Lepisosteus oculatus: one gene and its partner. The protein of the gene in region 1 purifies or fractionates together with the protein of each later gene. This does not show direct contact. Links are inferred from orthologs where the notes say so. Each region holds a gene or a part of one and is shown on either strand. Other genes may lie near its edges.

Region 1 (15,940 bases):
GAAATTACAATGAACTCTGGGAATTGTAGTTCACCCACAACCCTTGTGTACCTAAAAACAGGGGAAGGGGGATGAGAGAAATACAATTCCAATAGGTAGTTTTCCAGACCCTGTAGCACTAATTCAAGACTTGCTTCTCTATAATTAACATTAGGTAGCCCAGGATTAGGGTAATCAGGGTCTGTGAAACTCATGGTCAGTGGTCTTTCTGTCTGACCCATAGTTATTCATCCCTTAGCTGTGTTTTGTTTTCCAATTTTTGCATCTTTTTAGTGACCAGAAATCATTTGAACGGATTTTTAGGAGTCACACAAGGAAGAGAGTGAGAGCAGTATGTCTGGCATGCAGTCACAGGGGTTTTGGCAAACGTGTCATATGTGTGTCACATGGTGATCAAGAGCACACATAGTAGGCTTTGGCAGTTACTATATTCCTTTTTGTATTAGGGATTTTTTACTCTTTTTCAAGTTTAAATTATTTCTGTAAAAGAAAATGCTATGCTGTAGTTTCCAATAAACAGTAATGTAGTTAGGGCTTGGCCCAAGTGTATTTAATCTAAGCTATTTTAGCTAGTTATTCTGAAATATATTGGTCAAGCAGAAAGTGTTGCTCAGTACTGTTACTTTTAATACCTTGGACCCAACTGCTTAGAGTTGGGGTCAGTTCTAGTCTTTCTATTCTCATACAGTTTTAAAAAAACATCCTTGCTTTTGCTCGCTTTTAATGTGAAAATACAGCTTTGTGAGACATTTTTAAACAGTTTTATTTTACTTTGAACTAATGTCAATATTTTTACAAACAAAATAAATTACCTTTCCTCTCAAGGAAAATTTCCTGATTCGTCCGGCATTCTTTATGTAATTTTTTTAGAAGAATAAATCTGCACTTGTTTTAATAACCGTTAAAATAACATGCAATAATGAAACAAAAGTCTAATCCAGAGTTGAGAACAAAGACATAAACATTTTGTATGAAGCAGCATTTCGTGTGGGCTGACTCTGCAAAGTGAAAAAGTGACATCAGAAAGTTGATCAAATTACGAGCTCCAGACTTTGGCATTTAATACATTGCTGGCTCTTACCTCTGAAAATGAATCCTTTTTCCTGTGCAGATCCTCTCCAGGATGCACCGAGAACAGGGATATGATCCAGACTGGACTTTTTTATTCCGATTACTCTGTCCAGATGTAATGCCATACTCCAGCCACAATTCCAGATTGATAATAAAGCGTTAATTTAAACTGAAACACTTTTTGTTATGGCTACTAAGCAGTGGAGTTAACGTGGTATGTGTGTACTTACTGTATTCATCCGAAAGCATTCTCCTTTTCTCACAAGAATAACGTTCTTGCTGGGGTTTTAACTGAATGTACTAACTCTGTAGTCATTGAAAACTTCCTTCAGCACGTATGTGTACAATACTATTATCAGATCTTACCAAGCTTAAAGGCATGGCTGTTGCATTGGCACGTTTTTAACAGGTCCACGTGGTTTAGTGCAGAATCCCTGAACCTAGGGCTTAAAGATTTTAATATTTATGATCGAGTTTGTCAGTGGTGCACAGAACAGGACAGTGGGACAGTAAAAAGGTGTCCTGAATTTCATGGGTGTGCCTCCTTCTGGCCAGTATAATCCTTTCTCTCTAAACTTCACAGTCCTGGGCTGAGGCTTGAGATCAGAGCTCTGATCAGCCCCACTTTCTTTCGCTTCCCTGCTATAGTTTGCCCTGTAGTTTCCCCACATTCACCCCTGTCATCTTCGCCTGCCTTAAAACCGGTGAACGTGGCTTTGAAAATGATGAACGCATGTAAACTAAATCAATATCCTGTGAGGAGGCCGACCAGGCTGAATCACTGTTAACATTGGCTACTACCGTTTCTTCCAAGAATAACAGCAGACTCACTGTTGGCGTTGGGATGTAGTCGCAGCACCACAGCCTACTGGGTTCATAACCTGGAACACACATTGTCGTCCTGCCTTTTGCAAAACTAAGTGAAGGGAGCCAGGGTCACAAGTTTGTGTTTCTGGCGTGCTTTGGGGGGAAGGCATAGTTAAAGCCCTGTGGTTGACTGCCATTTACTGAATCAAAGGGTCGACGTTACAGACCTTCAGAGTGGCAGCTCTTTTTCGTAGGAAAATGTGAAGGAACGTGAGGCCCTGATTGCCCCCACGTTTTCTAGCTGCTGTCGGAAAAGGCCCGCTTTGTCACATCGGCCCCACGTTCAGCAGAACCAATTAAGACCACACTGTGCGGCGTCAAGTCAGGCATTCTGAGCAAACGCAAGCTACCGAGCACGTGTTTGGTGCACGTGTGAAAACCCGGCCGGATAAGCGTGAAAGCCGAAATCTGTGTATTCCTCCAAGACCAGTCGTTCAGTTCATCAGTTTTGAGATGCGCACGTAATGCTTAATACTCTTTCCTTTTCTCTTTGGAATCTGGTGGATTGCGATTTTTTTTATTTAAAGCACAAAAACCCCAAATGGTGGGTCTTTAAATTGTTGAACAAGCGGAAGGAATGTGTGGTTAGTTAGGGAGGGTTTTTTTTTTAGTAAAGAGAATTCCACCCAGATCTCGGCACAAAATACACAGCTGTTTGGGTCCATGTAGCAATACCTTAGGGTGCAGCTTGCCTGCATGGCCTGTGCTATCCACCACGTTACTGGGATTGTGACCAGAGCATGTGCACTCTCCCTCCTCGGTCTGTGACTTGAGCTCTTCAGAGGAGCACCTGCAAACACATGTCTTGTGCTTCAGCAGCACCGGAATAAATAAAAAAGAGTTTGTTTTTGAATGAAAGATGTGTATTACTTTTTAATGTTCATACATGGAAAAAAAATAAAGAGATTATTTTTGGACAGTATTCTTACCAGAGCTTAGAGAAGCAAAATATTTTAAAGAAAAAAAAAGTTGTATAAAGATTTTGTAACTGTTATTATATATGAAATGGAAAAGTTATTTTGATTTTTTTAAAAGAAAATAAATATCAGAGAGGTAAGATTGTTTGAGTGTAATTTTATGTTTTTATGTGGTGTGTTTATAAAATGTGTTTGTATTCTTGATGTTTTGGGAAAGAGCTAGTTTTCCCTGTGTACAAAATCCTTCCTTCTGCTGTTATATTCCACAGATTACATTTAATTATTTTTGCATTAGGGTTGAGAAAAATTCATCATTCTAAACTATTAGACGAATTATTTGCGGTTAGTTTAAATGTGATCCAAGTCAACATGCTACTAAGTAAGTTGTCAGTTGTCCGAACACAATATTAAAATGTTAAGTAATCATAGGGAAAATGATATTGCTAATGAAAGACTAATAGAACTCATATGTCATAAAAGATGTTGAGAAAACATATTTAAATCCATCTTCACATTTTATATTCAGGAAATCTAGGGTGTGTGCAAAGGTCTTGGCAATAAAAGGGGATCTATCTCAGGTTTAAGTCCAGAGCTAAATGTATAACAAATATTTAGAAAATACAATGCAAATTAGGTTCTACTTTCGGAAGAAGCTTTTTAAGTTGTGATCCATGTCGAATACAGCTGGAATTAAAGGTTTATGGTGGTGGCTTGTAATCTTTACAGCCAACATACACCTTCTCCTCTTTAAACACTAGCATCTCAAAGCCACATGTAAAGATAAGATAAGATCACTTTATTGGCCATATACAAGTTCTTGTATTAGGAATTTTGCATACCCCAGCTTGCTCTCCATGAGACACACAGACAGGGAGAGAAGCTGGGGGTCAGAGCGCAGGGTCAGACATTTTATACGGCGCCCCTGGAGCAGTTGGGGTTAAGGGTCTTGCTCGGGGGCCCAACGGAGTAGGATTCCTCTGTCGGCCGCAAGATTAGAACCGGCAACCTTCCAGCCACAGGCGCAGATCCTGAGCCACAGAGCCAGCGCACCGCAAGTGACAAGTGACAATCATTCAGATCCCCCCCATCCTAACTTGGAACAAGAGACTTGTCCTCTAATTCAAAGATTTGAACTCAAATCCCAGATATTACCATTGAGAAGACTTTGAAATCAACAAACATGTCTTGATGGCTGCAGAGTAAATCCATTCCAGGCATTCCCAATCCCAATCCCGATCCTGGTACCTACACATCTGCTGGTTTTTGTTGCATGTCAACACCCCATTAAATAATCTTAAAATCTTTAATTTGGACTCCGTCAGTCCCTCAACATGCAGGAGGTTACCTTTTAACCAACGCATTTCTTAAACAACTTAAAATCTCCAATCGTTGAGCAGAAAAGGAAATTACAAAGTGCCCATCCAAGCAAATTGTTTGTTCAATTAAGAATTAAGTACAGAGCTCAGCTGCAATGAAAACCAGCAGATGTGTGAGTTCCCAGGACCAGGACTACAAGAAAAGAAAGCTTTAAAGAGATTGCCTTAACACGTACAGCTTCTACAAAAGGAAGCACCTGCTGAATGGTACTTGGTACTAGAGGTCATGCAGCATTTAAATGACTCCACAACACTAGGGACATGCACTGCTTCATACAGTCAAAACTGGGAACAGCCATATCACCCAGCTCACAACTGGCAGCCCACTGAAGCTCAGCAGGTGTGAGCCTGGTCACTACCTGGATGGGAGACTTGTGGGAAAAACTAAGGCTACTGCTGGAAGAGATATTAGTGGGGCCAATAGGGGCCACTCACCTGCAGTGAAACTGTGCTGTGAGAAGGCGCCATCTTTTGCATGAGACGAAAGATCCTGACTCTCTCTGGCCATTAAAAATCCCAAGGTGTTTCTCGAAAAGAGTAGGGGTGTTACCCCGTTGTCCTGGCCAAATTTCCCAATGGCGTTTACCAATCATGGCCTCCTAATAATCCCCATCTTCATCACTCTCTTCACCTCCTGAGAGCTTGTGTGTGGTGAGTGTACTGGTGCACTCTGGCTGCTACTGCATCATCCAGCTGGTGGTGGAGGAGGAGAGTCCCCATTACCTGTAAAGCTCTATATAAGTGTGAGGAATTATTATTACTACATGTACTGCTTAAATATGTGGCCTTATGAAGATAGCGTGTTACATGATTCATACAGTACAAGACACAAATTGCAACAAATACAGCAATGTTAACCTGTGCAAAGAGTACTGAATTTTGACCTCTATAGTCTAAAAATGACAATCAGAAATTTCACATATTGACTTTATTTGTTTATTAAAAATGTATAGCAGGCTCAGATGAATCTGAAGTTTCAATGGTTCTGCTGAGAATATGGTTGACCACAAGTATAATGATTGGAAGTCATGAATAAAAGCTGGGTTAGGTAACATTCCTTTAGTTTTGAGTCAATAAAAAATGAAAACCGACTACTTTATTTAAAAATTATGCATATTTACATAAAATGAAAAAACGTATCCCCAACACACTGTTTTTCTTACTTTTTACAACTGAAATGAGAAAAAAAACACATTGCTGCAATCTAATTACAATTGCCTTACTTGCCTACTTTCGTTAAGGATTTCCAATAACAGTTTTACATCATAAGACTAACTTCTGCATTCTAAAACCCAGAAGATTAACAATTAAATACCATCTGTGGAAAAACAATCGGGTTTACAGTTTCCATCCAGAAACTTCACACTGCATTTGTTCTGCCGAGTGTGGGGGGAGAAAAAAAAAGAAACACAGTTGCACAGATAAAACATTTCAAAGCTGAAGCTTTGGAAACGACATATTGAGAAGGCAGTGTTATCGGTTGGTGGGAATAATAAAGGGATTCATGTCATATCCCGAATAACCCATTCACTTTACAGCTGGGAAGGAAGGAAGGGATTGAGGTCCTTTTACAACCTTAAGCCACCAGACCTTTATTTACAAGCACGACACCCCTATAGGAGGGCAGCTGGCACCGTCCAATACAACATTTTAACCGCTTGTCGGACTGGGATGTAAAATCGGCACAGCACATGTATCGAGATGTTTCTCTTTTTCTTACGTTTCATTCCCTCCCCCCCCCCCTTCACGTCCATGAGCAGTTTCCATTTTCACATGGCCAGGAGAACACCCAGAGGCTCAGTGGTGTGATGGCTCCAGCTTCCGAAGCCGCAGGGGGTTGGAGGGCAGGGCCTGCTGGCTGGGAAGCGAGGCGTTCTGCTCCGGGGAGCGGAAGAGCACTCTGCCACGATGGTTGAAGAGATAGAAGGAGGGATGGTTCCGCAACGTGTCGAATGTCCTGGGAAAGCAGGCAAGAACAGGGAGATTAATACTGGCTCCTAGGGGCACAGTGGATACAATGAAATACAGCACAATACTGTATTTCAGTGTTTGTATTCATAATTAAGATTAAAAGTGAATTGTGTGCATTCAAACCAGCCTGTATACCTAGCTTGTAGCATAAAAGGGAGCTGACATCAGCAATCATTCTGTGCAGATCAGAATGTTAAACAATAAATGTATCCGTGACTATCCCTTGATTTCAGGCTTCTGCTATGAATATGGCACTGAACAACAGCAATGTGCTTTTTTTCATTTTACATTTTACTGACATAAGCGACTCACAGGCCCCAGGAACCCTTTTAGATTTAGGACTTGTCATTTACATGAATCATATATGTAATCAATACGGTTTCAGAGTTTGTGACGTAAAATAGGTGGAGTTGGGCTAGAGGGGCTGGCTTAGCAGTGCAGTGCATGTAAATTCTATCATCTAGGCCCTTCCTGATGGCGAACAAAACCTACTTGTTCTTGAGCTCCGATGTGGCGTCCATGTCTTTAAACTCCCCAGCAATGTGCACAATGCCATAACAGGTCACTACGAAGGCCAGCAACGTTTGAAGAACTATCTGTAAATGCAGAGGAAACAAAGAACAAGCCTGAGAATGGTTTACATCAGACGATGTAATTGTGTACACAATCCGCAATGCCGGCACGGCGTGTGAGCACATCACACACTTACGTCACCAGGGAGAGTTTCATTCTCCTTCTCCGTCAGTCGCATGTAAGATCGATCTGGAAAACAACGCACATTGAACAATCACAGCCCCAGTGCGCTAACTCTTTGCACAGTGAAATAGGGTGCTGGTACGCGCCTCGGGATACGTTTTGCATCACTTGAGGATCAGAGGTATTGATTACTTTCATTAAGCAAATTTACAGCAGTATCTAGCCAACTATTAACACTAATAGGATATTTCACTATCCCACTGGGCACATCTGATTTCCATGAAACTAAGCAGTTTCAACAAACCGGTTTTGTGCCTTACATCTGCGTATACACACTTTGGTGCTTCTAACTGGTGATGTTATGCATTGGATGAGCTACTCTGCCTTGACTTTTTTACAATAAAAATAAATGACTATTTTGGAAAATTACTCTCGGCACCACGCCACCCAACCAGTGTCGGGCTGTTACTATTATCGATATTCTCTACTGCCAACAGCGATTTGAAGTAACAAAATACAACAGTTTCAAATTCACATTTCTTTACATTAATGTCAACACCAATAGAAGCAGCGCAACGGCTGCGCTGAATATAATTACCGGTAAATACCACATTTACATGATTTCATATTCTAGCAGTAAATAAAAAGCTTTTAAAATCATCACGAGTCCCAGCACACCAAAGTGAAGATGTTAAACTTCAAAATTCAGATGTTTTCCATAAAATATGTTGAGGTACCCTGTAATGTTTGGTGTCATCTAATTTAAAAGGAGAAGGGAGAGCGCTATTCGACGCAGATGGGGCCTGTCTCTCTTTGCTGTTAAATGATGTCCAAAATTAAAAAAAAAAAACAAAGCACTGCCGCAAGAGACCCTCAACATAAACACGTCAGTGAGCTTTTCTAATATGATGTAACTTACGCTGAGCCGCCGAGAAAGCTGCATGCGCTAAAGCGAAAAGTCCGATTCCGACAAGACCTTTCCAAACAGACGAAGCCATCTTCATCCAGGGAGTAACAGGGAGAGAGCTGTCAATGTAGCGCGATAAAATGTCGTAGGCACAGATGGCTGGGCGGAAGTACATGGCGCGTAATGATGACGTCTCGATAGGCGCTTGGGTCCGGACGAATGAGGCTAAAATTATCCTCTGATTGTATTTGTATTTGTAAATTATTTACAAGTTTAATAAAAAATTCTTTTAAAAAAAAAAGAATGAGGCTAAAATTCAATGTAACTCTGATTTCAAAACGTAATATACAATACGGCTTCTCGTGTAAAATGGAAACATTTAATAAAATATAGTTTAGAAACAGGAATCTCACAAAAATAAATTAGAAGCGTCGGGATAATGACAGCATGTAATTAGTGCGAATATTTGATCTATAATATTTGATTTGCAAACCCAACGGGGAAACCTGACTTTTCACTAGATAATTCCAATTCATCAGATTACGCGACAATCCGGTTATATTATCCAAAATACTATATTTTTAGATCGAACCTGACTACCAATAGGATCTAAAATATTCACAAAACTATTAATGCCCCCAAAGTTTACACAACGTGTTTTTGCATATTCCACAATCACGGTCCCATGTAAAAATAATTCAAAATTCTGTACAGTGACGAATTGCTTTAATGTTTTTGTGTGCTGATTTAAACGAGTTGTTGAACAGTTAATAAACGTTTCGGGTCTTCTTCTTTGTTTACTTTTGGGGGGGGGGGGCATTTTCCTTCGAAAACCAAACGCGTAGACAAATAATAGCACGGTCGTGCTATCTGCGCTAAGGTCTTCATTATTCTAAATCTTGTTGCTTCACACGAGGGTTTTTAGTATCGGGGTCGGGAGACACCTGCAACAAAACATTGTTCTTTTACAATGTGAAATATCTACTAATAACTAGCACAATCTGCCCAAGTCCCTTCTGGTGCGCCTGGCGGCCAACACATCCTTACATACTGTATGGCAGAAGCTTACGATCAACAGTTGTTTTATAATTTTATAATTGTTTTATAATTATAATTACAATGGAAAAAATATTCAATTGGTTCTTATTGAGAGGGGCTTACAGAATAAATGGTCGTCCAGTCTGCGGGGGGAAAAAATGTGGAAATTCTCTTATCCAGTTAGTATGATGAGCACAAGTAATTCTCTCTCACTCTCTCACACACATGAAGTTGCGAGTCTGAGCTCCGCTTTGCAGCGCTGGGTCACATGACGAGCTTCCCCGGGCCAGCTGGGAGGAGTGAGGGAGCCGAGCAGGACCAGCCCCGACCCCGGCAGGCGGCGGAGAGACGACAGCACGCATCAGGGGGCGCCGTCAGCACAGCCATGGGCTTCAAAACTCAGCAGCCGGCGGCCGCGGGGGTCTCCGGACGCCTGGCCCTGTCCGTGATGGCGAGCCTGCTGGTTTCCCTCAGCCTGAGCCGGGCCGAAGACGCCGGCATGGAGAACATTGTCACGGAGAAACAGGCAGAGGAGAGCCACAGGCAGGACAGTGCCAACCTGCTGATTTTCATCATGTTGCTCACCCTCACCATCCTGACCATCTGGCTTTTCAAACACCGCCGGTTCAGGTTCTTGCACGAAACTGGGCTGGCTATGATTTACGGTGAGGATCCTTCCCGAGCGACCGAAACTGCGGTGCCGTGATGTCGGATTTATGGGGAACTAGTGAGAACCCGCGTCTCTGTATTGCTGGTAGTAGCAGTCATGTGCGGTACAACTGTGCCCGCTGTTATGTTGTGCCATTTGTAGCGTGTTTACCGACAGGTCAGGGCCTTCTTGTGTGAGTTTAATGTCTCTGGTCCCTGTACGAATGTTGAGCCTGATAACGTTGTTGCTACAGCTACCACTTACTCCTGTTGTACATTTGTATCTGGGGGCTATGCACTGCCAAAATGCGCTCGTTATTTTTTCAGACGCTAACAACATCAGCGCTGTGATTGAGCACAATACGAAGCCAGAACAGTTAATTATAAACCCCTTGCGTAGAAAAGGGGAATTTTCCAGACGGTTGGATGGATGGGGACTGGAAAACTTGGTATTTTATTTTCTATTTACGCAAAGAACCGCACTGGAAGGTTTTCTTCTCGAGTCAAGACGCGATGTTGGGGGATTAAGCAAGGCTGCTAAATGTTTTAGAATTTCCCTGTAACACGTGACGCTTGAAAATAGCGTCACTGTCCGAGGATAAGGTGAGATATGTTCGTTTTTACGCATTAGGATGCTGCTCAGCGCTCATACCCAGCTACCTTCTCAGTTTTCAAGTTGGGTTTCCCATGACCGCCCAGGTTAATCAATTTACTTCCTAAGCAGAAACCAAGCGAAACGCTTTTTTGTGTATTCACTGAGCTGAATACGTGTTGCAAAACTGTTCTAGAGAAGTATTGTCTTTGCACCATCTCCGTGGAGACACAAAAAAGCAATTACTGAAGATCGCCTTGCCGTGTTCAGTTTCGCAGGAGAGTCTGGTTTAGCCTCATTCCGGGCAGCAGTCTTCACAAACCTCTTCCGTGAAGGAGAACTACTGTCTCGTCCTCCGTGCTGAGCAGCTCAAACACCGGGGAAGTTTTGTTTCCGGCAGCGGGCAGAGGAAGGTGGCAGAATGTGTCGGTCCTATTTTTATATTTAGTGGTATGCGCCTTATTTGCTGAGACGGTATCGGTAGTTGAATTAACACATTAATAACTGGTAATCATATTGCCCTTACAAAATGTTAAGAAGGTGTGGCGAAATGGCATGAACTCCGGTGATTAGCGGGTATTTGCATGGTTTAGCAATGGAGCGCTATCAGAGTACAGGGGTTTTGCTTAAGCAACCATGCCTTGGTGAAATGTCTTTTTGCCTGAACAACTTGTGGTCCCTGTGACACCCTAGGCTGAGATGATAGCACTACAATGATTTGACTTTGTAAGCCCTCATATAAGGCCAGGACTAAAGGTTTAGTCACCCTTAAATTGCTTCATAATCAAGTTTAAAAGCCTGTGGTCATTGCTTTATGACTTACCTTGGCCTTAGCTTCTTAAAAGGCTTCTTCTGCCATACTGCCAGGTATGTCAGGTTCCAGACCTTGGAGAAACCTGGGGTGTTTGAGGGGACCCCAGGACGAGGGCAGGGAGATGGGCGGCACCCTGACTGTGTGTCCGTGTCCGCAGGTCTGCTGGTGGGCGTGGTGCTGAGGTACGGGATTCACGTCCCCAGAGACATCAACAACATGACTCTGAGCTGCCATGTCAACGCCAGCCCGGCCACCCTGCTGGTCAACGTGAGCGGGAAGTTCTACGAGTACACGCTGAAGGGCGAGATCAACGCCAACGAGGTCAGCAACGTGCAGGACAATGAGATGCTCCGAAAGGTAAGGTGGACTGCGCCCCGCCCTGTGACCCCTGACCCTTGACCCGCGGCTGGGGGAAGACAAGCCTGCTCTAACCGGCCACACTTCAGGCTCTCTCACCTGCGCTCGCTTCTCTGGGCCTCTTGTGGCATCATCTGTCCTACCTGAGGTCACGCAGAGCTTGGTCCCCAAGCCCATAGCAAATTAAAGTTGCAAAAGGAAAAGGAAAATGTTTCAGGTCCAAATTTAGCTCGGGTACATACCCTGCATGACTTCTCTTGTGTTCCCCTTGATTTTTTTTTAGACAGTTATTACAAGACACTCCCAGCTGCATCCCCTGTTGTTCTGGCGCTAGTTAGAAAGCACGTCTTCAGAAGTATTCAGAAGTTGCAGGCTATGTGCAGGCCCCTCAGGACACCTGGTGAAACTTTGTATACGTCACTGCGTTTCCATCATGAAGTCACCCAGACGGGCCTTCCTTCTGGAAACTCTGTAAGCACTCTGTGGGGTTGCCTTTGACATCGTGTTAAGGCATGTGGATGAGGATTTTTAAGGAAACTCCATAATTTTCCGTTTTTTTGTTAACGCAGATAAACGTGCGCGGATAAAAACGCACCCTGTTGTCGCAAGACTCATTCGTGCCCTTCGAAGAAATCTCTGTCCCGTCTGCCTGTCGTACAGTTAGCTGTGTACAGTGTCAAGGCTTCAGTTAGCACTGACAAGGCGCAAAGTCCTTGAAGAATTAAATACGTTCCTGCCAACTTTACGTGTGTGACATACACCCGACAGAGGAACTCCAGACCTCTGCACAGAGCATTTAGCAGCAGCAGGTGTTCCAGGTTTAAAGACAATGGGTGTTTGTGTGGACACTTGCATGGGGCTCATTCAGTTCAGTTTATTGCCATATGGACAAGTGCAATTAAATCCTCTTTTTATGTGTTGGCATTTGCAATTGTAGGAGATTTTTGCACACAAGTGTGCTTAGTACATTTCAGAATGTTGCACTAATTGTTAAAGTCTAGTGTATGAAATAATTACGTTGTATTCAGATCTCTTTTGTTTATTTAATATGACTTTTACTTCTAATCTAAATGACATTTGCTAGTTCTGCCATGGAAATTTACACAGTTCCCCTCAGTGCTTCTTCCTAATTCACTCTGACTGTAACAATACCTCGGGGGCACAGGTTGAGTGAGTTATGAAATTCAAATGTTGTAACTCCATTATGCAGTAGTGAATGGCTTGTAGTGTGAATCAAACACACTATGTACACTTACACATCCTGGAACGAGCTGGGTGTATCAGGTTTCCCTGCAGCTGCACTGCTGGTGAGAACCGCAAGACCAAGGCCCGGATTAAACACCAGTTTGATCCAACTCGTGAATTCCACCCACCGGGGTCTGTGGAGGTTTTCCTCTGGGTGGACTCGAGAGAAGCCCCCGGCGAATGAAAGACCACCATGGGGTGATGCGTTTGGAGTTTGACGCTGGCGAGAGGGTGGCGTTGTGGTTTGAGTCGTGGAAACGCAGGCTTACTGTCCTTCTTGCTGCTGCTCGAGCAGAGCTGGGTTCTGCTGGGGCACAGCACGTGGACTTCGGGGCGCCCGGTTTCCCCCCCCCAAACTGGTTTCCAGCTGGGGAAGGTTGTCCTCCTGCCTTGATGGGCATCGGGATCGTGCAACATGCATTCCTGCCAAGTGGCACTTTGCATGACGTTCTAGTTACCTCGTTGTAAGGAACAACAAACAGGCTTTCTTGTGGAAGATAATTTACATATCCGCTTGCTGTCGGCCCACCGGCTTCCGTTGAGGCTTGCTATTTGCATTGGCATTAGAAATCACTTTTACGAGCTGTATTGGGTTGTGCCATACCTGAAAAACATCCTGTATTCCTGGCTGGGTTATATTCAAATCTAGTTCTTGTTTCCACTGAAAAAGCCTACGTTTTGCCTGCCCATGTAAAAAAGGTGCAAAATAATTGAAAAATCTCACGCCCTTGTAAAGGTTAAAGGCCTGTTTGTCGCATCAGTTTGATTTTTCTGTGTGGGTTTTTTTTCTTCCCTACATTGTATATGATACCCGGGAGAGTGGATTCCTGTGTCCTTGTGACTCTTTTTTTTTAACTTCTCTCCAGGTGACCTTTGACCCTGAGGTGTTCTTCAACATTCTGCTGCCACCTATAATCTTTCACGCAGGGTACAGTCTGAAAAGGGTGAGTAGGTTTTGAGTCCGCGCAGAAAAGGGCGAGTCGTATCTTTTGGGGAAAGAATGGGGAAAGTCGTTTCGGTCACAAAATTTGCTTTTGCAGTTCCAGTAGGACTTACAGGGCTTCTTTCAGAGGGGAAGTGAAGGACAGTCCTGCATCACAGAGCAGAGGAGAGCGGGGGCCTTCAGGGATGGAACCCAGCGACTCCGCTGTCATCAAACCAAAAGGAAACGGGAACGAACGAAAAAGCAATTGCCAAAACACGACTAGGAGCTATGCGAGATGAGAGTGATGAGATTTGACCCCCCCCAGAAGTTTGTGATTGTATAACTGGAGTGTCCTGCAGATCATATGAGGCTGAAGCAGTAGTTTCTGCTCGTTGCTGTCGGAGAAGTAAAATTAATTCAACCATTTTATCTTCTGTTTTCTGTTTCAGAGACACTTCTTCAGAAACCTGGGGTCTATCCTGGCTTATGCCTTTATTGGGACTGTCATATCCTGTTTTGTCATAGGGTGAGCAGAGATTGAGTAGGCTGTTATGGCCTCTGAAATGTTAAGGTGATGCCTGCTTGCTTTCAGAGATTTTTTTACTGCATTGCTCAAGACCTAGTGTGTGTGTGTGTGTGTGTGTGTGTGTGTGTGTGTGTGTGTCTTCAATATCTGAACTGTGACATGTTTTCTTCTGCTAGGAGAGTTGGGCAGGTCAGTGAGTTTTAATTCCTTCTCTCTTCGGTCTTTTCCTGTTGCCCGCATTCTTTAACAGGATGATAATGTATGGATGTGTGATGCTCATGAAGAAGGTCGGACAGCTGGGAGGAGACTTCTTCTTCACAGACTGTCTCTTTTTCGGGGCCATCGTCTCTGCCACTGACCCAGGTACCCACTTCGCCCCGGGTGGGTCTCCGCTGTCGTGTTGTTTAACGTCTTTCCTGGGTTTGTGATCATCAGGGCAGTGAAACCTTACAGTATACGAAGGGTTGCAACTGAGAAGAAGCCGTTGGAATCATCGCTCTGGTTTGTTTGCGAGTACAAGCAGCCCGGCACGCGGTTAGTTCTCACACCACCCAGTGCAGGCTCGTACCCGAGTCCTCGTGCTCCTGCGCTCCGTCGGGTCTGTGTCAGGAGGCGTGTCGCTGGGCTGGCGCGCCGCGTGCAGTCAGGCTCCGACTGTTGCTAATGCTTTCAGAGAAGCTCTTGGAGAATGCGTTGTTGTGTGTGTGTTACGGCTCTGCCCGACAAACTGCAAACAAGAGGTGGGGGCGTGCAGATCTCCGGTACTGGGAAGAGCGTCGGCGTGATCCGTGGCGGCCAATCGCAGGTCTCTGACGTGGCGGGGTCTGGCGCTGGCAGCAGGGCTTGACCAAGTGTTTCTCTCCCCTCTCCTTCCGGCTGCCCCCCCCTCCACAGTGACCGTGCTGGCCATCTTCCACGAGCTGCAGGTGGACGTGGATCTGTACGCGCTGCTCTTCGGCGAGAGCGTCCTCAACGACGCCGTGGCCATCGTCCTCTCCTCGTGAGTCCGGCGCCCGGGCGGCTGTCTTGTCTGTGCGGCTGGGTACCTGAGGCAGGAGGGGCAGGGGTTGCAAATCGCATCTTCTGTGCCAGCCTTAAGGTTGGGAGCTGCTCCGGGGCACTGCCCTGAAGAGCTGGTAACGGAAGCGGCCTGCCCACCTGATGTTGATAACAGAGTGGGCTAAAGGCTGCTGATGAGTGTGCTTGTGCTGTGGGTCTAAAGAATAACTAACCCCTGACCTGACCGTTGTTTGCTTGCAGAATTCTTATTTATTACGGGAAACGCAGGGCCCGCGAGGGGCTGGGGAAGCAGGCCGCAGCCTCGGCGCTGGAGTGGGGTCAAGGCGTGTCGAACGCACGGGGGATGTCTCCCAATGGGTGCTGCTTCAGAGCAGAGCAGAGGCCACGTAACCCTGGAGTGCCAGGACAACACGGGGAGCAAATTACCAGTGAGCCGTGCTTTGTGCGGCCACAGCTCTGATGGAGTCAGTCGCGACGGCCCCGGGTTCTCGCGAGATCTGGAAATAGGAAGCGCTATAAAAGTTACTCATCCTTCTTGCTAGACCTTGGAAGGAAAAAATGTCCCGGAACAGTCCTAGAAAACGGGGGGGGACTATCGCCTGAATAACTGAGATACACCCCAGGTTTCTGTGTACCGAGATGGGTGGTGAAAGCTGCTCATATTTACACCGATGAGCTAAATCTGCAGTCCTGCAGAATGGTCATGTAAACAGGCGGGGAATGAGGCAGGGATCAGTGGGGTGCACAGCTTGTTGACGACACTGCTATGAAAAGCTGCTGAAATGGAAGACTCCTGGGACTTTATCCAGTGAGGGGACTGTGGGAAGCCTGAAGACGAAGGTCTAGATCAGTTGATCCTGATTAGCAGTACTCCGGAACGTGCTTGCCTAAGTTAACATCAGGTACTGATTTGCAACAGATTTTGCTCATGTTAGTGTTTGAGGTTCTAGGTCTCTCTAACCTTTATGGG
Region 2 (14,940 bases), on another chromosome or scaffold:
CTCATACAGATGATTATGTTTTTCATTTTTGTTCCCTCCAAGCAATGTTAATACTACACTGCTATGATCCTGGCCCATGTGGTGTTTTATCGTGATTGTTTCTTAACGAATGCCGTGAAAGGGTGTGTTCTGTGTGGTTCACCTCACTGGGATCCCATTGCCATTATTATCAGACGTCCACAGTGAACAGGCTAGACTGGCCGAACTCTCCTGGCGACTCGGGAGCCAGAGAGTTTGTGGTGGGGAAGGAGGACATCGAGGCACTATACAGTACATTCAGTTAGAGGACTGAAGCTCTGTTCCTGGACTTCTGGTTTATATTCCAGATGAGCTAGAACCAACTTAATTGGACCCAATTATTTCCTTCAATTAGTAGAAATTGCAACATCTTTTCCAGGTCTCTCCTCACTGACTACTTGATGTTCCTATAAGATTTGCAGGTCCAGGGATGCAGAGCTCTAAACTGATGGATCCCATTGACCACAAGCTAGGACTACAATTTTAACAGGGTGTGTTTTATGCCTTCTGTTGCCAGTTTAGCACAAGTATAAGAGTGAAACCAAGGCGTGGACCAAACAAGACAGGGATCTGTGTCTTATATCACAAAATAGGCGAAGACTGTACGGACACATCTGCCATTTGTTATGCATTTCACAGAACTGTAACAGAGAGCCTGTGAGCTGTCAAGACTCCTTTGTGCCGTAACGCGGTATACCAAACAGTGTCGTAACCTTGAACTAACACTGTGTGCCGACATGACACTGACTGCACTGCCTTTTCAGAAACTTGAGCTGGATGGTTGAAAAGCAGCTGACGGTTTCACGTGTGGGGTGAGGAAAAAAAGCAAAACTAACTTCCTGTCCTAAATTTAGCTTTTCAAAAAATAATAGTCGTTCCCAGCTCCCTCTTTACTTACTGGGTTTTGTTTGCTTCTTCCTCTGTGGCATTAGTTCTTTCGGAAGGCGTCGCCAGTCTGCAAATTCAAACCAGCAAGACTCTTCAGTAACCTAAAACCGCATGCAGGAGGTTCATGTTTTTCTGCTAGTCCTCCTAATGGACCACTCCAGTGGCTTTTTTCCTTCAGGATTTGTTCTGGCTTGTAAAATAGCAAAAAAATAAATAAAAGGAAAATAAATGCAGAAAAGGTGGAAGGTGTTGCAGTAAAGGGCTGTAAATAACAGCTAATGGAAGAGGTCAATTTAAAAGTCAGAGCAGACATAATCTTCCCTTTTTTGGAACTAAAAATACCATCATAGTAACAGTCTCAAATGCCGCTCAAGAGGAATTAGATTCGTCCCAGGTAATTCCCCAGAATCAACCTCTAAAAACCCCCTTATGTCACCCACATGGGAATCAGCCTCCTGTCACAGCTGAACAAAAACTATGAAACACTCCCTCTTTAAATCTCTTTAAATTGCCCAGAAAGATAATCCAGCTCAGTGCAGAACACCATGACAGGATCAGAGTAGGCTTTAGGAGATTACAGAAATGTAAAACTCTGACCCAAGAGCTGAGCATCAGCTAAACTGCACCAACTTGAAAGTTTAAGAGATTTAAAAGCTCATCAAAAATATTCATTCAACTAAAATGTGCATTTTCTGTAATAACAACAACTCTGTTGCTAAATTGGCTTTGAGATTCAGAGAGACTGATAGACTTAATCAAATGACAGAGCTCCACACAGCAGTCCACTTGTCCACACACATACCTGGTTTCCAGGTGTTGTCCCCTTCTCTGTTTCTTTCCTTTGTGTATTTTTCCACATCTAAACCGAAACAAAACAGTGCTGCATTTCTTGTCGATCTCCTTTTCATGCACTGCAGGAAGTGCTTCAGGTTAAGTGTAATACTTTTCAAAACACATTAGAGAGGGGCCATTGTGATGGTCTTCCTCGCTGTACATTGTATGTCTTTTCCCTTATTTCATTATACTCTGGCCCATTTCCACAAAAGAGGATGGATTAACCTCATTAAGTAAGTGCAGAAAGCATGTTAGCGTCCAATTTAATGTGATTTTTGTTTTGTGAATGGGGAGGGGTATAGTAATTTGAGGCTATAAAAGTAACTGAACATCTGTTCTAAAGGCAAATGTAATAGTACATTCCATTCTTTCCCTATAGTACAGTTATTATAAAGGTCTCAAGTTTTGCACCAGATTCTTATATACCATATTTTTTTTTATTCCAATTGTTAAATCTTCAATCACAAGCATTAGAAACCTGAAGGATGTGAAAAGTGCATTCTGTTCAGTGAAGCTCCTCTCTCTCACCTTTCTTTTCAGCTGGCAAAGGTATGTTGTAAGGCAGGAGTTTCACTGCAGCCCTCATCTCCTGTTTCAGGGCCAGCATATAATCTTGGTCTTCTCCCATTTTCAAGGGCACTGGCTTGAAGTCCACATCCTGTCACCAGCAACGGTTTCAATGGATTTTCCGTCAAGGTCACAACGGGCAAAAAAAATAAATCCGGACCTTGTCACCGGCATCCCCTTCCACAAAACCACATGTGCCAAGAAGAGACACCAATGTTCACTGACGTACTTTTATCTGACTGATGTTTCTGTTGCGCAAGATGGTAATCGGACACTTCACATGCCTGAGGTGGTGCACCACTCTAAACTGCACAGTAAGCTATGCCTACAGCTTTGATGACCTCCCAGCATTATTCAGGAGCAAAGCCGAGGGAAGCAGAAGGATGCCCCAAATTAGCCTTGACATCTTCCAAACATGAGTCCGGAGGGAAGAAGAGTATATTCTCAAATGAACTTAAGTAAAACAGAGCTTGATGGCTTCTGTTGAAACTGTGCAATCATCAGCCCTTCGGCTTGAAGCTGGAGCTGCAGCAGTCTGTTCTACATGCATCCAGTATCCCATGGGGAACATAAAGTCATTTACATTTGAGACTGTGACAAGACCGGTTTGATGGCTGTTAGCGTGGCCTGGGCATGCATGCCACTGGCTCGCTCTTCTTTAGTTTCTCTGTAACTAAACACAGCAGCATTAGAATGAAATCTGGAGTTTTCATAAACATTGCGTAGAAGAAAATGTTTCCATACTGATTGGACAGCGCTTCACCACGCAATATGACGATAACCCACAAGATACAGGTAAGAGGTCAATTCTAATTTGATTTCATTAGCAATATTAGTACCACATGGATCTGAATTAAGACCACTGCACTTCCTCATTTATGTCAATAATAATTACTAATTATTACTAATTAGATGAGAAGGGACCTGAATCAAGTATTCAAAATCCCCTAGGGCACTGACAGAGTCAACTTAATGTGCTTCCTCTGAATCAACAGCGAAACACTAATCTAAGGACACAAGTGGGAAGTGATATTAGATCTGAGAAAAGAACACACCTCTTTACCCAAAGGGTTGTAGGAGTATGGAACACGCTACCCAGCCATGTTGTTGAAATTGATATCCTGGCTTCTATCAAGAAACTGCTGAATGAGATCCTCAAACAATTCACTCCTAGCACCCACAGAGGTTAGATGGCCTAAATGGCCTCTCGTTTGTAATTCCCCCTGTGTTCAGTACTGCACATGTTAAGTGTTGACGGAGAGCAGACACAGTCTTGCCTGGTGGTTTTTGCATGTGTTAGCACAGTTCATGGCCATGATAACCTGCTCCTCTAAGCACATGCTGCTCACCGCTCGAGGTTTTTCGAGAGAAGCGCAGCCCCGGGTTCCAGGACGTGCTACTCACCGGGAACAGGGGCTTCGGCCTGAACGAGGTCTCTGGTAGCGCTTCCCCTCGGGTGAGGCCGAGGGCTTCGATATTGAAAGTTAAGGCGGCCAGACCCCGTCCACGGCCTCTTCCCGCCATCTTCACCCTGCAACAGAGGCGCCGCTTAGCTGGGACGAGTCTCCGCCCGTGAACATACCGGCGTCATGCCCAGTTGCCCAATTTTCCTCTCCCCCCACGGAGTGTCGAACTCTGTCCTTGTACTGGATGAGGAGCACTGAGCACTGAGGGTGGCTCGGCCGCTTCGTTCTGCTTTTCAGCGTGGACGGAAGCTCTCCTGCCTCCCTGGCAGACAACACCACACTGACACAGCCTCCCACTGCAGGCGTTCTGCAGGCCTGCGGTTACGGCAGGGTTTCTGAAAGACAAACTACCCCCTGCAGGGGGGGGTCAGTGCTGGACGGAGAAAAGGTGCGTCTCTGCACGCAGTTCTATCAGCAAACCAGAGGGCCCTGAGAGACAAGCCCACACTGATCACGGCCAACGCAACGCTGCTGCTTAGGAAATTCAAGTTTCAGGCAGCTTATTGCACGACCCAGGCTTGAACCCGTGATCACAGAACCCAGCCTGCGCACGGGCAAGCATCTCAACCAGCTGAGCCCCATGGAAGACCGACGTAAACCCGTCACTCCTGACGGCTATTGGTGTCCCAGTGTGGTCTTGGGTTGTACCCCAACGATTCTGTGTTAGAAGGAAGGCTGTGCAGTTCAACCAAGAATAACCCTTGAAGCTGCAGCCACGAAGCAAATCGCTACAACATGGCTGAATCCAGACAGACCAAGTGTTTCAATCAGTGAAATGTGTACGATGGAGATACACAGCTATAGAATTAGTCCTCAACGATATCCATTTGTAAAAAGACGGTTGAAATGTGAAAGATATGTAGGATCCCTTTCTCAGTAACAGGGAAGTAAGAAAAATGCAGCAGCCAATCAGAAACTTGTAGAACAAGTCAAATTCAGCTGTCATTTTGATTTTCCATTTGACCCACTGCTTTTCTGATAAATGTAAAAAAACGGTGATATGCTTAATGTTATACTGTATGTCTAAACCTTTACTACAATATTATTTGTTATACTTTAATGTTTCACTGCAAAAAGTCTCTAAAGGTGAATGCTGAGGCCCATGGTGATCCTGGAACAGAAACTTCACCACAAGTCCTGACCAACCCGATCATGAAATTTTAACAGACCATGGCCAACAGGCTAACATCTAAGTTTTCATTTCATATAGCAGAGCAAGCCTAAAATATGACCCAAATAAACCACAACCTGTATACCCTTTAATTCCTACTACATTTCATACAGTTATGTTTCACAGTTATGTCTATAAAAAACGTCAAAAAAGTTACTAGCACTTTTAATCTGACTAAACTAAATGCAAAGTAACATTTTAAAGTGGTCCTTCTCTGATCATAAAGCTCACAAATTCACATAACACCATGATTCAGCATATTATAGAGACCACCATGATCTTTAATATAGACACATTTTAGGAATAACCAATTAATATGAGCACTTAAGGAAAACTAGTACCTGCGAAAGCTGTTTCTGCTGAAAATGTGTCCTCTAAGATTAGATCAATGTTTGTTTCACTGTCCAGGCTACGGTATACAGTATGTTTACAACTAATATAAGAGAAATATTGCTCAGATCACTGATATGCCGCAAACTCAGATTGTACAGAGATTGCTACAAGAGGTGTGGTGTGCCTAAATTCCAGTTAGCAGGTGTAAGATCCTTAAACTGTTTATCAGCAGTGACAGACTGCGCTCGTTAATTTAACCAAATTTACGCTTAAAAAAATAGCCTTTCATAATATTCATAACAGCAAAAGCATTTCGTGAAAATTCCAGAAAATCGATCTTCAAAGTGGAGTGGAGGCTGACTTAGAAATCTTCTCATTTAATGAACAATGATTTTTTTTTGTGATATGGGCGTATACAGTACGAATAGTCAAACATGTACGTAACTGTTCAGTTAAATTAAAAGCATTTAATTCAAAATACTATGAAAGCTGACATTAACCGTAATGAGTAAAAACACTGATCTGCGGCGCTACCTACCAAAGTAATTATTGGGATATTTAGTCTTTTCCGCTCGCCAGCAGCGGTTATTCTTCATTCATTTTCAAAGGAGGTCTGAGAAGCCAGTTGCCAGTCAGGCTCAGCACGCCTTCTGAAACAGCGATCGATACCTGCTCCTACAATCCTGGGACATTTCCAGCCCCGTCAGCGAAGTGTAGCGTGGTAGCTCACCGAACACGAGCATGAAAGCGCTACAGTGGAGAACGCGACCCGGCACCACACAAAGATTATAAATGATTTTTTAAATTTAAAATCAAAGTCGGACTTTTTTTTTTCTTTACTTGTGATCACAAAAAACTGGTACGAGGGAGTAGGGTAGGGTAGTGCTCTCGCAGCTGGCGCTGCTGTCTGACAGCTGTTGGTCTGGCGTGGAGTTTGCACCGGGGACCTGACCTCCTCTCACCTTCCGCGGACATGCTGATAGGGTTAATTTGCGTCTCCCAGTTGTCCTCGAGTGTCTGTGTGCGCCGGTGCACGATGGATATACTGTATGGCCACTCGGAGTCCTTTAACTGCCGGGATGGCTCCAGTCTGCCGCGACTTTCCCGGGAGTGAGCCGTTCGTCATCATGAACAAATGCATAATTTACCCGACGCCCTAAACTATACATCTAATTTATTTTTTAAGTGTACGTGCAGAGAGCACTCGTGCTGGAGCATGCAGGTAAGAAAATAAGACGGGTTACAGCCTGGAGGAGGCGACTCGGCCTTTCTGATGACAAGCTCGGTTGCTCGTAAGTAATTGATACAAAGGTCCACCCTTTTCGCGAAGGAAGTCAGGTTGTCGGCTCTGGCAACATGACTGGGCGGCTTATTCCAGACCCCACAGCCCTTTCTGTAAATATTCCCCCCTGTAATTAGATTTAAATCCCCCTCCCATAGACGCACTTAATTTGCACTGGTGTTTTGCTGTTGATTTTGATCAATGGTCCCCGTCTTTGTCAGTGCATCGGGGAATTGTGAATACTGGAATCAAGTTCTCAATACTAGGTGGGTCGAATAGCCTCCTGCTTTGAACGTTTCTCTGTTCAAGATTAAAACGGATCCTTTCGTATAGCCTCTCGGGGCAGGTAAATAAATGTAATACCATGGCAGTGCAGCTACAGTAGCAGAAGCTGGACAAGCAATGCTGGAGTCAGGCAAAGAAATAAAACGGTAGACCTAAATCAGTATACAGAGTGTGAATACCAGGGTGTCACGTAAACGCCCCATAGGTAAGTTGTATTCATAGTAAGGGCAATTAGCACGTTACTTTACCAGTCTGAGGATGAAAAAAGTCAGATTTTGCCAGTGTATTGAAACACATAGCTGAGAGGCCACAGGTGCCTTGTGAAGAGATTCCTTAGTACTGCGTTTCCCTTGCTCGGCAGAATTTAAAGAGATTAACTTTTGTTAATTCGGAGACGGGTGATAAACACTTCTCTGTATGAAAACCTACCCAGATTAGTGAACTAAAACTAACGAATTAGTCATAATTAATACGGTAAAACATTTTTCACCTAGAAATCTACTTGAAACTAAGGGGAAAAAAACACCGGCGTGACATAAACACTTCAGATAATAAACCACGCGTTTAAAGAACGTGAAGAAAATAGCCTTAAAACATTGCGAAACCATACAATGCATCTGCAACATAATTTAATATTGTTTTTAAGCATGGCCCCGTAATAATAATAATAATAATAATAATAATAATAATAATAATAATAATAATAATATTTTTAGCAGGTTCACAATGTGTCGTGGAGCTCAGAAGCCTGTTTTTTCTACGTTATATTCGGTATTCTGGAGCGACCCACCTCCCTTTCAAATACAATCAGCAGCTTTTACAGGGTCTTTGATAGGAAATGAGCGGGTCTTCACTATAACTCAATTTATTAACATTTCATTTTCATTGCCCTCTGACTACAGGACATATATTCTCCTTATCGGTCATATGCCATTATATGCTGTGTATTACTACTACATGTCTTCTGGAAAGAATGATATTATCGGGCTTCTCGTTCACACCGACTAGAAACAAAAGCGCAACTATATTCCCGTCTGTCAGGCGCTTCAGAGGTCCTGAAAGTAGGAAACCTCCGCAAAGCCAACACCGAGGAGGCGGGATCCCGGCTGGTTTTGGTTCAGGGACAGCAGTCCGCACCGAGCAGGAGAGGGCTGCGCCTTTAAGCCGCCGGGTGTGGCCGGAGCGTGTCGGAGGGGCGCAGTCGCAGGTCCGAGCCAATCACGAGCCCCTCGGACCTTGTTTATCCACTCAGCTGCTTTTTCTCCCTGCAGGCTGAGCGCCTGTCGCGGTCTCCTCCTGTTCTGCACAAGCCAACCCTGGTTTGCATTGCGCCTCCTCACCGGACCGGACCGAGTCTGGATTCGGGGCTCCACGTCCCTGACAGCTCGGTGTCTTTATTTTATTACGCGTGGGTGGGAGGCGGGTGTCGGGATGTCTGCGACGGAGTGGTACGCTCACAAGTGCCTGGGCGACGGCGTGTTTTGGATCCAGGAGAGGTTCTACGAGTCGGGCAACAGAGCGAACATCTGGCTGGTCCGCGGGTCGCACCAGGACGTGGTGATCGACGCCGGCCTGGGCCTCAGGAGCCTGCCGGACTACCTGCGCGCCAAGGGGCTGCTGGGCGAGGAGTCCGGCCGGAAGAACCCCCCGCTGGCGATCGGGACCCACGTCCACTTTGACCACTCGGGCGGGCTGCACCAGTTTCGCCAGGTGGGGGTTCACAGAGCCGAGGCCGACGCGCTCGCCACGGGGGATAACTTTGAGATGGTGACCTGGCTGTCGGACGGCGAGATCGCCCGGGCTCCGACACCCGGCTGGCGGGCCAGCGAGTTCAGAGTGCAGGCTGTGCGACCCACTCGCGTACTGCAAGAAGGTGAATATCTCTAGCACATATAGGCATGCACCAGAGCCGCTTGTGCGTGAAAGGGACGGCGACGGTGCGGTGCGTGGTCATATTGCGCGTTATGATAAGGTAAACTAATGCCTTACCGTTCCGGACACCGGTTTTCAACAAGTGGCGAAAAATACCCGTGGCATCTGCTTAATTAACAGCAGAGTTACACAGAGGCCGTCTCGCATTAGCAGGGCTAATCTGTCGCCCTGCTGGAGGTACGTTCAGCGTCTCTCGGCCCGACGGAGTGAGCTTTAAAGACGCCATACGGCGAGGAAGGTGGGGGAGGGCGCAGGCTGCGCTCTCGTTTTTCCGGTGTCGCATCGAGAAGACGAGCTTGAGTATTATCAAAAACTAAACATAGGTTTCCACAGACGTGCGGCGTTATATCTCTAATAAACTATTTCATTAACGTTGTTGCTTGGGGGTATTTTTTGTAAACGGAAAAGATATCCAGAACACAATCTTGCGCTCGGTGTATTTATGCGATCTGTGCCTTTCCGATTGATTTGGACGTTTAGGGCTCATAGCCAATGAAGCAAATAAAAGCATTGGTACCGGGTCGAAGTACTCCTGTACCACACACTGCTATTCTAGACGAGCAATGAGAAAATTGCGTTAAGGAGCGTAATCGGTCCCAAATCCGATGAACTGCATCTCTACAGATTCATCCGCCTCCTTGATTCGTTACAAGAAGGATGACAGACTGCCTGCACTATAGTCACAATCTTCCACCCCCCTGAAGACACCAGAGAGGGAATAATACTGTATCTCCAACTAGCAGCGCTCGGGGGGTTGAAACGGCCTCTTCGCTCTGCTGCTGGTTCCGCGCAACACTGTAGCCCAAAAGTTTGTCAAAGCACGGCGGTGCAGAAAAAAACACGTTCCCAATTAAATATCCTAGACTCTCTGAGAGAACTATATCTCTGGGGTTACGGGGAGATACTACTGGAATAACTGCACGTCTGCCTTTATTATTCCTAACCAGGAGCTGGTTATTGCGCAGTGAACAGGTGATCGCGCCGTGGCAGTGGGGTGTTTTGGGGGGTGTCCCGGCGGGACTGCGCAAGTTCTGTGGCGTCCCTCGTCCGGGCAGACCGGGACAGGCGATGTCGGGCCGCTGTGGATCGATTTCAGCCAGTTCCGGTAACAGAGTAACTGGACCTGGGAGACTCTGGCCTGATATTTTCGCACATGACCTTCACAGCAGCGCTTTTGTTCTGTCCTCTCACTGATACTTCAGTGATCCCACTGTTGGCACAGTACGATTCGGCACAGCTCTTCTCACACCCAGCTGCAGGACACCGACGTTCCTGCTGAAAGAGACAAATCTGCAAGCGCTGATATTTCTGATATATATCAGAAATTATTTCTGGTATATGGGGAGCCTACATGAGTTTATTTCACTTACAACGGGAAACGTACAAAATGACGAGAGTCATTGTCAAAACCAGTACAGTTTGCAATGTGACCATGGGTTTGTATAGAAGTGGCATTTTTATAAAGCTTTTGGGAGATACACGAAAGAATGCACTAACCTTTACACATATTCAGACGTTAGACTTGAGGTCAGTCTCTCATGCCTTGACCATTCTGCCCTTCTATTATAAGCAGAAAACTAGTGAAAGACTTGGACACTTTGAAAATACTCTCAGCAGGGTTCAATCTGAGATGTCTACTACCTTGCAACCCACATACTGTCTTCAGAAATACATTAATTCATTAATTTCACATGCAGTGTTTAAAAATCCTCAAAAACGAAATCAAAGTGGACAAGAAGGCAGTAATTAGGATTTTAAGAAAATGAACTGGAAGTGAAAATTAAGTTTGCATGCAAGTAGCTGGTAAAATAACAACTAGTAAAATGGAAATCCTTTACTGTGGATAGTAAGCTGTTCTTCCTGTACCTTATATTCACAACATGAGAGAGTGTGAATGAGGAAAGTGCCCAGCTGTGATACCGTGACATCAGTATTGCACATCTTCAAAGCAGCAGTTGCTGTAAAAGTCTTTTCTCTTAATGAACTAACACATCTGAAATACGTGACTTGGCTGGGACCCACTCGGAATAGCTTCTCCTGTAGAAAGACAGACAGAGCCTACGGCTGCTCTACTAGATTGTGGAACCTGAGATGTGGAAAAAATATCCCTGCTTTAGATGGAAAGGAAAAGTGACATCATGTTTTATTGACACTAATAGGGAAAACTGAGGGATATTGATTATCCATAGAATAACCATCCGTAGTTCCTAGCCTTAAGCAGCCTCCATTTTCCCTGAGATGACTCAAACTTTCCCAGGGATTTTCTTCCAGCGTGTCCGTGAGAAGTTTCACAGCCCACCAGTAATATTAAAGGGGGACTGTAACATTATTTTCATATTTCGGGGTCAGCATTGATGTACACAGTAACTGGTAAAACCTCCAATTGACATCACAAAATACATGAAATTTCCAGGTATGTGCAGTGCCCTGTCCTGCCATTCACAACGAGGCAACAAAACTTGTGGTGAGATGATGTGGCCCCATTACGTTGTAAATAAGCCGGCTTGTGCATACAGCTCTTTTCATCCGATAGAAATATTGTCTCAACTTCGAGACAGTTTTGCAGACAAATACTGCTTGTTAGCTCTGCATGGGGATCACGCTGGAATAATTCTGCGGTGAAATGTCGGCTGCGCTACCTGTACTTATTCGCTCGTACATCGCATTGCATTGGTCAGGGCAGGAACTAGTGAGCAGGAAGGGCCGGTTCACGTTGCAATTCTTGGGGACTCGAATAAGTTCCCAGGGGTCTGCCACAACACGGCGACTCCGAATGCACGGTTTTGTGCTTACTTTGAAATTTGTGAGTTTTCTTCTGTACTGTCGATTGATTTAGTTTGTTACAGGTAGGTAGGTCCTTTTACAGGCCATAAAGGCCCATTGGGGATAGGGGGGCAAGGGCCACCATTTTTCTTGACCATCCGACACTGGAGGTGATGTGGTCAGCATCACGCTCCGGCTGACCGATTTCCCCCGGAAGGATTAACCCCGGTACTCGCAGGTTGAGCGGAGCTGGGAGCCGTCTGGAAGGAATTAGGGCAAGCTACATCGCTTAACCCTACCTGGGATTGAACCCGGGACCTTCCGGTCAGGAGCTAGACGCCCTTGCCGTCTGCGCTACCACGGCTCCGAGTTGTTCTAGAGGTCTGAGAAAGTGGGACTGCAGTTCTCCTTGAAGAAGGTGCTCTTGCTGTTTCCTCAGGAGACGTCATTAACCTGGGCGACAGGCAGCTGTCGGTGCTGCACATGCCCGGCCACTCCAGAGGCAGCATCTGCCTGCACGACAGGGACCGCAAGATGCTCTTCAGCGGGGACGTGGTGTACGACGGCTCCATGATCGACTGGCTGCCGTACAGCAGGGTCAGCGACTACGTCTCCAGCTGCGAGCGGCTGGTCGAGCTGGCGGACGGGGGCCACGTGGAGCAGGTGCTGCCTGGCCACTTCAACACCTTTGGGGCCGAGCGGCTGTACCGCATCGCCTCCAGCTACATCGCCAGCGCGGGAGGGTGCCACCGGTTTTCCATGTGTGCCCTGAAGTCCGTCGCAAGCCTCGTTCTCCGTGCCTGCAATTCTAGACACGGGTGTTGACTGGGAAAGGCAAACGGCTGCTTTATACGTTTACAGTATTTTGTTTATGCTAACTGTCTCAATTGATGAAATGTGTTCGTAAAATTTAGCCCAGTACTGCAGTTGCACTAATTTTGACTTTGAAATGGTAATTATTGCACTAGTTTTGATTCTTAAATGTGTGCGTGTTGCAAATGCAATGATTTGGGTTTGCACATGGATGAGTGTATAGCTTTAAGCCTCGAGGTACAAAGAAACATACTTGAAGCACGTTTGCATTTTTTTCTGTAGCTTTCCAAAGCATGAAACGAGGAGTGGCGGAGCACATATCATTTGCTGGGAATTTCGTCTTCACGTGAGACATGGAGAAGCAAGTTTTTATTTTGGCTGATGCTGGTTTGCTGTTGTGGAAGATGGAATGATCTCACTGATGCGTCCATCATCTGGTCTCCGTGGCCGCTGTGTGTCCAGAGCTCCGTGACGCTGGACAGGACCCTGGTGTGCCTCTGGGCTCATGTTCATACACATGGGGCAGTTTAGAGATGATAATTTACCTGGGCAGCATGTTTACTGGGGTGGAGAGGAAAGTGTTCAGAGAACACGACAACAGGCCCCACAGGTGGACTGTTCACTCACACAAAGCCAGATTTGAACCCAGATCCTTGGAGCTGTGAAGTGAGGGCACAGTCCACTGCTCCAGCATGCTGCCACTCATACCACAGTATCATAAGCAAAGACAAGGACTTTTTTAAAGCACTTGTAGGCTTTTGACTGGCTTAGTGGCAATTCAGGGTGGTTTACCAACCCAATTTTATTCAGTTAAGAATGATTCTTTCAGATTCTTTCTGTTTTGTATCTCTGTGCAATCTTGATGCTGAGTTTCAAATTTTGAGTGTTTAACTTCAACTTAACTTGTGTTTCCCTGGATGACGCGAGAAGGCAGGTGGTCATAATTGCTAGAAAACCTGTCCTGTGCTGTGATGGGGGTAAACTTGGACACTTGGACACCTGACCCCTGAGCTTACTTTTGCCCTTTTTCCACTTAAAGTAGAGCTTCACCCCTCTTGTTTTTGAATGTAGGTTAGTTAAAGGGAATTTTTAGTTCTTCTCATAAGAAGGCACTGATTTTTAGTAGATGACTTTAAAACATTAAAACAGTATTTCTAACCATTCCAAAGAATCCCACAGTACTTTACTAATGAGAGAATTGACTTAAGGAGGACATGTTGTGTAAACGCAGCGTGGAGTTTAGGAAGGACTCCTTCTCTCAAGCAGAGCTATGGGATCTGTAGTGACTGTGTAGTCTGAACGTCAGTTTAATTGTTTAATTCAAACACCATCTCCTATAGCACGGTGTCCCCGCAAACTGAGGAACCGGTTTGAGAATTCAGGTCCAGAGGAATCGGCACCACCTACTGGTCTTCTAACATCTCTTAGAGCAGCTGTTTTTCTTTTAGAGGGCATGCCCATACTGACCTGGCCCAGGCTCACTTAGCTTCTGAGATGTGTCAAGAACACTGTCACACACTTAATTATACAGCAGAGGACAGTTTGAGCATTGCAATATTTGTTTTTTCAGATCTGGAATTCAGTAACATGCAAAGATCATGCATGTTTGTGAGCATTAGTTGCAAAATCACATTTATTCTTACTGGCCACCTTGTTTTTGTGCTGACACTTCTCTCAACAATCGTCTGAATTTAACTTTCTGAGTCACCATCTTTGTGTTACGAAAATACCTTTCTTGAGCTTTGACCAAAGCCAGTTTTTATGCGGACTTCTAAATATACTTACATGCATTGTGGCCAGTTGAGAGGTTCAGCTGGTAAAGGCTCTTGCCCTAGGGCAGGTGCTGCTCTTTGAACACGGGTTCAAGCCCGACAGAGTTTTGGCACACTACTGGCTCTGCTGAGCACCACCAAGGGGAGGGTGGGGCTACTTGGCCAGGGCACTTTTGGCTCTTGGCGACCTATGTGGCCTTCTGGGTTCGTACAGACATGCAGTCCTGTAGGCGACCTCCAATCAACACTGATTCTCCAGTAGGCAGTAGTGTCGTATGTGACATCATATAAAGCTGGATGGAGGGTGGGGTGGGGGAGTCCGCCTAATTTTCCTCACTCTCCCCCGTGTGTGGTGGTGGGGTTCGTTATTGTGGACAGACGCACCATAAACCCACAGTGGGCTTTTCCAAATGCATCACAAAAATAATCTGAGATTCTAAATGGAAAAAAAAAGAGATTTTAAAGTAATGCAAATCTGTTGTTTTGTCCAGTCTATTTTGGGGTATTATTTTCAAAAGAGGACCATTACAAGTGTTAGTAACATCATCATATCACTTTAAAAAAATGACTTTAGTATTCATCAGTTCACAGTGTAATATAATTAACAGGAAATGACAACAGCAGTGGTTTTAACTCAGTGTATTTGTTTCATAGAACATGATTGAGGATTAAGGGCTAACAGCTTCTTACCTTGTCTTGAGCAAGGTTGAGGAACAGATTCTCAAACCATGCAACCTGCCCATTCTCTTGTATCAGGACACTGGTTCACACACCTGACCAGTCTCCAGGAACACAGATGTACATGCTGTAGCAGGG

The links.
Region 2: the proteins of slc9a6a (region 1) and mblac2 purify together in Homo sapiens (co-immunoprecipitation; 3 studies listed by BioGRID and IntAct, counting the BioPlex papers as one, with this or other methods). This does not show direct contact. The link is inferred for Lepisosteus oculatus from reciprocal best matches to the Homo sapiens genes SLC9A6 and MBLAC2.

The regions. Positions count from the first base shown.
Region 1 is NC_090703.1:48,905,476-48,921,415, forward strand, and holds the start of slc9a6a (sodium/hydrogen exchanger 6a), read left to right. Parts: upstream 1-9,062; 5' UTR 9,063-9,111; coding exon 9,112-9,508; intron 9,509-11,054; coding exon 11,055-11,254; intron 11,255-13,365; coding exon 13,366-13,443; intron 13,444-13,873; coding exon 13,874-13,950; intron 13,951-14,200; coding exon 14,201-14,313; intron 14,314-14,844; coding exon 14,845-14,950; intron 14,951-15,940. Other genes in the region: mmgt1 (ER membrane protein complex subunit 5), read right to left, coding at 6,029-6,188, 6,695-6,798, 6,912-6,964, 7,818-7,980. UniProt on the Homo sapiens protein: Endosomal Na(+), K(+)/H(+) antiporter. Mediates the electroneutral exchange of endosomal luminal H(+) for a cytosolic Na(+) or K(+).
Region 2 is NC_090698.1:72,664,756-72,679,695, reverse strand, and holds mblac2 (acyl-coenzyme A thioesterase MBLAC2), read left to right. Parts: upstream 1-7,915; 5' UTR 7,916-8,275; coding exon 8,276-8,717; intron 8,718-8,833; exon of another isoform or gene 8,834-9,556; intron 9,557-11,978; coding exon 11,979-12,364; 3' UTR 12,365-12,475; downstream 12,476-14,940. Other genes in the region: polr3g (DNA-directed RNA polymerase III subunit RPC7), read right to left, coding at 917-973, 1,709-1,765, 2,269-2,398, 3,712-3,831. UniProt on the Homo sapiens protein: Acyl-CoA thioesterases are a group of enzymes that catalyze the hydrolysis of acyl-CoAs to the free fatty acid and coenzyme A (CoASH), providing the potential to regulate intracellular levels of acyl-CoAs, free fatty acids and CoASH.